Caenorhabditis elegans: one gene and its partner. The protein of the gene in region 1 interacts with the protein of each later gene in a pairwise test. Each region holds a gene or a part of one and is shown in the gene's direction. Other genes may lie near its edges.

Evidence for each region. The genes of interacting proteins can lie anywhere in the genome.
Region 2: the proteins of M01F1.4 (region 1) and far-2 interact in a two-hybrid assay, tested with the Caenorhabditis elegans proteins (one large-scale study listed by BioGRID).

Annotation. Positions count from the first base shown.
Region 1 is NC_003281.10:3,508,128-3,511,882, reverse strand, and holds the start of M01F1.4 (Transmembrane protein 245), read left to right. Parts: upstream 1-1,849; 5' UTR 1,850-1,965; coding exon 1,966-1,968; intron 1,969-2,039; coding exon 2,040-2,138; intron 2,139-2,207; coding exon 2,208-2,340; intron 2,341-2,398; coding exon 2,399-2,762; intron 2,763-2,821; coding exon 2,822-3,039; intron 3,040-3,483; coding exon 3,484-3,755. Other genes in the region: Proton myo-inositol cotransporter hmit-1.3, read left to right, coding at 465-826; mrpl-35 (Large ribosomal subunit protein bL35m), read right to left, coding at 962-1,162, 1,263-1,380, 1,481-1,638.
Region 2 is NC_003281.10:9,079,714-9,083,052, forward strand, and holds far-2 (Fatty-acid and retinol-binding protein 2), read left to right. Parts: upstream 1-2,114; 5' UTR 2,115-2,116; coding exon 2,117-2,624; intron 2,625-2,696; coding exon 2,697-2,737; 3' UTR 2,738-2,798; downstream 2,799-3,339. Other genes in the region: far-1 (Fatty-acid and retinol-binding protein 1), read right to left, coding at 760-800, 856-941, 990-1,195, 1,249-1,464. UniProt on the Caenorhabditis elegans protein: Probably binds lipids.

The DNA of each region.
Region 1 (3,755 bases):
AAAGCGTACTGTAGAATTTTTAACGATTTTTCATACTCAATTATTTACTCGACGATGGTATTTGTTTTTATTAAAAGACTATGAAAAACTACAAAAAAAATGGAAAAATTGAAAATTCCACATCAACAAAAATTTGAAGCTACAGTACTCTTTAAAGGCGCACGCCTTTTTTGCATTTAACATAAATTTGTCGTGTCGAGACCGAAGATAAAGTGGAAATGCGCTCCAACGCTAAAACCGAGAAATTCAAATTTTTCAATGCATTTCACACATTTTTAAAACTAGCTTTTACAAAAAAGTTATCGAAAAAATGCCTGAAAACGGCCAAAATGAGAGATAAGGCACGAATTTACGGCTTTGCCTCCAACTCCTACCGAGACCCAAATAGTTCGTTGGAGCGCGATTGCACTTCAAAACTTCAAACTTCAAAATGCTTAATAATTCATCAATTCACGTAATTCCAGGTTACGCCCCGCTACCATGGGTTCTAAACGCCGAATTTTATCCATTATGGGCGAGAAGTACAGCCGTATCGGTATCAACTGCATGCAATTGGATATTTAATTTAATAGTCTCACTGACATTCCTGTCACTTTCCCAGGCAGCAACAAAATATGGAACATTCTTCATTTATTGTGGATGCACCATGGTTGCTCTTGTATTCGTTTTCTTCTTTGTTCCAGAAACAAAAGGATATTCAATTGATGAAGTTGAGATGTTATTCATGACAAAAGAAGAGAGAAGGAAAGCTCAGAAAGTTCTGGATGAGAGTAAAGAAGGGAAGCATCGGAATTCTGTTGCAATGTCTTTTGATACTAAATTCTAATTGTTTTCCTAATTTGCAAGCTTTAATTACTGTTTAAACATGTTTCAACAGTTATTCATGTATAATATTTTGTAATTGTGAATAATAAACTATTTTTATATTCCTAAAAACAAAAAAAAATCCAACAAAAAAATTTCAACAATCTTTAAAAAAACGTTTCGACGTCGAGTCATCCATCAGCACCTTCTTCCTCTCACGAACGAAATTTCCACGATCATCGACACGTGGTGAGGTGACGTTATGGCGGACGTTATAGGCAGAATATGGATCATTTGGATAATGCTTTGGACGGAGCCAATATGGAGTCATCAGTTTGTCGAGAATTTCGCACTGTTCCTGAAAATTGAATCATTTTATGAAAAAGTTGGGGAAATTGACGAATTTGACGATGAATTTAGCTTTCTAATTCCTGAAAAAAAAACCCGAAAAATTGTACCTTGGTACAGGTCTCATAATAAAGACTAGTCTTCTGCCACGTTTCATCTTTCATATATCTCAGCTTATGACGTCCTGGATGCGCGTGAATCCACATTCCATTGTTTAGACGTTTGAATCTGAAAATTTTCAGTTTTAAAAATTAGTTTCGCATTTTTAAGTTCAAAAAATCAATAATTATTGAATTAAATTTTTTAATAAGCTAATAAATAGCGTTACCTGTCTAAAACATCTTGCGCCGGCCGTTTCCGTCCGACTTTCTGATCGAATCGAATGTGATACTCGTGAGCCGGAATATTGGCGATTCCACGGGCGGCCAATGTGATCGGAGCCTGTCTTGATGCACATAATGTGCTCAACGCCGTTTTTCCCAACATTTTTTTGGCTGAAAATAAAAAGTAAAGGTAAATTTCATGTGAAATTGAGAAAAAATCAGGAAAAAAATTGATACAAAATAAAAATTGAATTTTCAAAGCGACTACGGTCAGCATTCGGTGTATGCACACTTTTCTCTCGCGTCTCTCCATTTCACACACTCTCTCGTGGCGCAATTTTTTTTTTGAGAAAAAAGAAAACAATAAAGAGAGTAAACAACAAAGTTGGACAGAATTCTATATAATTTTTATTTATTTCGGGTTTTTTTCAGTGATATTTATCGTTTTCGTTATCGATTTTATTGCCGATCACTCGTTTTTCGTTGCGTCATGGTAATTTTATCTTTAAAAATCTAAGAAAACACATTTTATTTAAATTTTTTTATAAGATTTCAATATTTCAGATGTCCTCAGAAGGCATAGAGCGCTATTTTGGCGCCGGCGACAGTGAACAACGAACAGCACTTCAATTTGCGTTTTATAATGTGCTACTTTTTGTTTTGGTACGCTTTAAATTTTAAAAATTAATTTTTAAAATTCAATTAAATTAAATAAAATCTAAAAATTATCAGCTCGGAGTCTCATTATGTGGTCTGGCTGCTCTCTACAACATGATGTACATGTTTTTATCACCAATGCTCTGGGCGGTGCTCGTTGGTACAGTACTTTTCCCGTTCAAAAAGAAGGTCGCAGATACTGTTCAGCGTAAGTTTTCTGGCTAAATTAATTTCAAAATCTTTCAAATAAATTAAAAACTTTACAGATTGGCTAAGAAATCTTCAAAAATCGAATCAAACTCTCGCCAAATCAGTGATTACTCTCCCGTTCACCGGATTCTCCAAAATTTCTGAAAAAATCTACACAACCTTCGCCAGCCCGAATGGAGCTATAATTGTTATAGCCTATACTGCGTTGAAAATTCTTTCATATGAAAGAACTTTTATGTATATTATCAGCTGGATGGGACGACTCTACGGATATTTGGATTCTTTCATTGTTTTCTTTGCGAGACCCTGGGTTCTTCCACTGATTATCGTTTATTTCTGCTGCTACGCCGCCTGGATTTATGTTCAAAACCCGAAAGAGATTAATAAGAAGCTTGCAAGATCATTTTCTCTTCCCATTTGGTAAAAATTCCTAGTTTAAAAATGAAAACAATGAATTAATTTCTTGTTAAAAATTCCAGGATCTACGTAATTTCCTACGCTTCCCTGTATTTCGGACCTCTGAGAGCCGGTGTTTTTGGAGTTTCAGCTGCTGTCCTGGGAATGTTATCAGCCGGATTAATTGGAGGTCATAGACCAAGTGAAGAATTACTTGAGAAAGAAAATTCTTCTGAAAATCTAGATGAATCCATTCTTCCTCCAAACGTGGAGAAAGTTCTGGAAACTGCGAAAGAAAAATGTGAGTTTCTAGGAAACCGCAATTTCGGGTGAAAAACATTATTTTTGCATTTTAAAACCCTTTTTTTCTATTTAAAAGTGCCAAAAATGTAGAAAAAAAACATTAATTTTTGAATTTTTCGATCAAAAAAGCCGAAGCGTTGCGAAACCACGCGCGTAAATGAGTCGATGTCCCTTTAAGATTTGTGTAGATTTACGCTTGATTTTTAGGCAGAATTCTTGATTTTGGTTTATTTTTCTTGAATTAAACGCCTAGAATAGCTTATTTAAAGCCACTTTTTATCTAAAAATCAGTTATTTAAAATTTTTTGCAGGAAAAATTCTGAAAAATGGCCAAAAACTGTGCCGCAGGCTTACAAAACGACCGCCGGCATCTTTTTAATGTTAGAAATCTGTAAAAATTCAATTTTTTATTCTATTAATTTCTAATAATGTTAATTTTCAGTGGACGCAACAGAACAATCGCTTCTCGACAATTCCCTTCTCTCCACATCAACAGTAGACGAAGCTATCACTGGAGACTGGCTAATTCGTTGTGTTTTCGGTCTTTGTGCTCTTCTTTGGGTTGTACGTCATGATGGAGCCCTGATTCTTCTCGCAATTCCATTTGTATTGGCTGTAATCTCCAGAACTGCCGAACAACTTGGAATCACTGCCGCTATCCATAATTTCCTGGATTCCACTTGGCAAAAGATGTCACCATCAGTCACAAAAATC
Region 2 (3,339 bases), 5.6 Mb from region 1:
AAATAACAAATGATTTTTAAAAATAAATTTTAATCAAGTACATCTTGATAACAATAATTTTATAAATTCAACAACTTCATCATTATGTCATTTTAAAACATTTGGACAAGCTGGACACTTCATCGAATGGATGGCGGAATTCTCTTCTTTGCTGGATTGTCAACGTTCGGGTCCTACAACAAAGATGCATCAACGTTTATTCTCGTTCAGCGTTGGATGGTGGATGTCAGATATTATGGATAGTGCTTCAACTGCCTTAAAGCACAGTGAATTCCTCTGTTTAGAACCTGAAATAACGCTATTTGATCCCAAGTACCTAAAATCAATATGGTTATGTTTCTTAATTGAAAGGATGCTATTTGATTTTGAGTACTTGAAACAATATAAGTTTTGACAGGCTTGCAATAAGATGGGACTTTGATTTTTAGGTTTTTTTTAAATTCCAATCTCTAGCAACTTCTGTGCAAGTTTTTTAAATGGCCAATTGACAAGTCTCAAGCATCGACTTTGCAGACTTTTTTCTCCGTTAAATCTTTCCAATTGTCTCCGATCAGTTCTTTCACTAAAAGTAATTTATCTTAGAGGCCCGAATGCTACTGTTGTGAGGGCATCATTTGTTTGAGATACCAACTGCTACTGATTTAATGAGTCATTACAGAAAGCATCAAGTTTTTATTGCGATTCAAAGTTTATAGAAAACCAATAACCAACCATTAAGCTTATTACATTAAAAACAAAAAGAAAATGCGAAATGGAAATTTAGTTGAGGTATTGTCCGACCATGGCTTGAACCTTCTCGTCTGAAAATTAATATAATTATTAAATTGAAAATTATTAGAAGTTTATTAAACTCACTCTTGAAGAATCCGGTGAGGATTGGGAATTCCTTGGCGATGGAGTCCTTGGCATCTTGGGAAAGTCCCTTGTAGGCTTCGATGTGGCTGAAATGTTATCCTGACAGAGAAATTTGTAATTTTCTCGAAACTTACGTCTTGGCGGTGGTCTTGAGGGTGTCGAGGGATGGCTTCTCTCCGGCCAAGTATTGAGCGTGGATCTTACGTCCTTCAGCGATAGCCTTCTTGACGAAAGCCTTAGCCTCATCATTGAGAGCGTTGACCTTGTCCTTGACGATTTGGTGGAGCTTGGAGGCCTTCTCGTGGAGAGTTGGAGACTTTTCCTTGAGGGCGTTCAAGAACTGCAATTTAATATTTTGATTATTGGTCTAGAGTTTTCAATTTTCAGACTCACATCATCCTCGCTCTTGAAGTCCTTGTATCCCTTGGCGACCTCCTTAAGAATAGCCTTCTCTTCTGGGGTGATGGACTTAAGATGCTCGGAGACCTCGGCTGGGATAAGGGACTTGTATTCAGCTGGGATATCGTCATAGTTCTCTGGGACCTCCGGGACTGGAGCAGAGAAGGCGAGGGCAGCGACAGCGGCGAGGATGATAGTGGCACGGATCATTACTGAAAATTTGAAAGATTATGAGAATCGGGGATGTGACGAAGAAGAAGAAGAATAAGAAGAAGAAGAAAGCGAAATGAGACTGAAGTGTTGATTTCCATTGTTCTGAGCATCTTTTAAAGTCGAACAAAAAGAGGCGGACCACATGGTGACCCCAGAAGAATTACAATCAACTAGCGAGAGTGTAGTCCTTTGAGAGACTCAGAAAATGAGCAATTCAAATGGGCGGAGTCAGTGAGATAGAGCAGTTGCGAAGAATCAGCAGCAGCAAAGGGAATCGAAATAGAAATAGAAAAAAGAAACATTTTTTCCTAAACTTCATTACACTAAAAGTGGTTTTTTATAATAGAAATAAGGGAAAAATGAGGTCTGCGTCTCGAAGGGAACGTGATATTTCATCGGAACTCTCATGGTTCAACGCACTATTTCGTTGATGAAACGAGGTTCAAACATACATCATCCAAGGTCGTATAAAAGATCGGCTGGCGGAGCAGAATCGGCACAGCAGAAGCAGCTCAAAGCTTCATCTTCTACTTCGAAACTTTGCTAAATGGTTTCTTTTTTCTAGTTTACTGGTTCTTTAACTTTGATATCACCTTCTATTTCTATTTCACCTTAAAATTTCCCACCCCTAATTTAAAATATTGCAGTAATGATCCGCGCCTTCCTCGTCGTAGCCCTTGCCTCCGTGGCTGTCTTCTCTGCCCCAATCCCAGAGGTTCCACAGAACTTCGACGACATCCCAGCCGAGTACAAGGGACTCATCCCAGCTGAAGTTGCCGAGCACCTCAAGGCCATCACCGCTGAGGAGAAGGCTGCTCTTAAGGAACTCGCCCAAAACCACAAGGAATACAAGACCGAGGAAGAATTCAAGGCTGCTCTCAAGGAAAAGTCTCCATCCCTTTACGAGAAGGCTGGAAAGCTCGAGGCTCTCCTCACCGCTAAATTCGAGAAACTCGATGCCACCGCTCAGGCTCTTGTCAAGAAGATCATCGCCAAGGGACGTGAACTCCACCAACAATACCTCGCCGGAGATAAGCCAACTCTTGATTCTCTTAAGGAACTCGCCAAGGGATACATCGCTGAATACAAGGCTCTTTCTGATGACGCCAAGGCTACCATCACCGCTGAGTTCCCAATCCTCACTGGATTCTTCCAAAGTGAGTTTTAAAATTCTGAGATTTTTGAGCATTCAAATTGTTTAATTCAAACAATAATTTTATTATTTTCAGACGAAAAGATTCAAGCCATCGTCGGACAATACGTCAACTAAGAAGTAATAATTATGATATGGTTTTCCAATTATTTTCCCCCAAAATAAAGTATTTTAATTCAAATAACGATTGATTGTTCTCTAGAAAAGATGGAAAGAATTGAAGTTTGGTCGGTGAAATGAATCCCAAATGGCTACCACATGTCGGCTTCACGTAAAGCACATTTTCGAAACTTTCGAGTTGTCTTCACAAAGTTTATGGGTTTTGTTGTGGTTGTTGTGATTGTAAACAATATGGTTCCGAGGTCCATTGAGCAGTTGAAAGAATTGGGTACAAAGTGCAGGGTTACGGTAGCTTATTTGCCAACAACGTAATTCAGAAACTGGAAGGACAAGTTGCATAGTTTTTTGAAGTTTGAAAAGCGCAGGTAGGAAAACTTGATAATTTTTCAAAATTTCCAAAAGAGAATAAGTCAAAAACTAATAGGTTTTGCAAAAAAAATTTCTACATACAAAATATAGGTCATAACGTTTTCTTTGTTTTTGTTATTGACAATTTGTTATCAACTCTTCTTTGAAAAAAGTTAAAGCATTTGACATCTGGCGGCTTAATTTTTTCCAATCATTTTTGGAGCTTTCTGTAATTAACTGAATTTCATGGT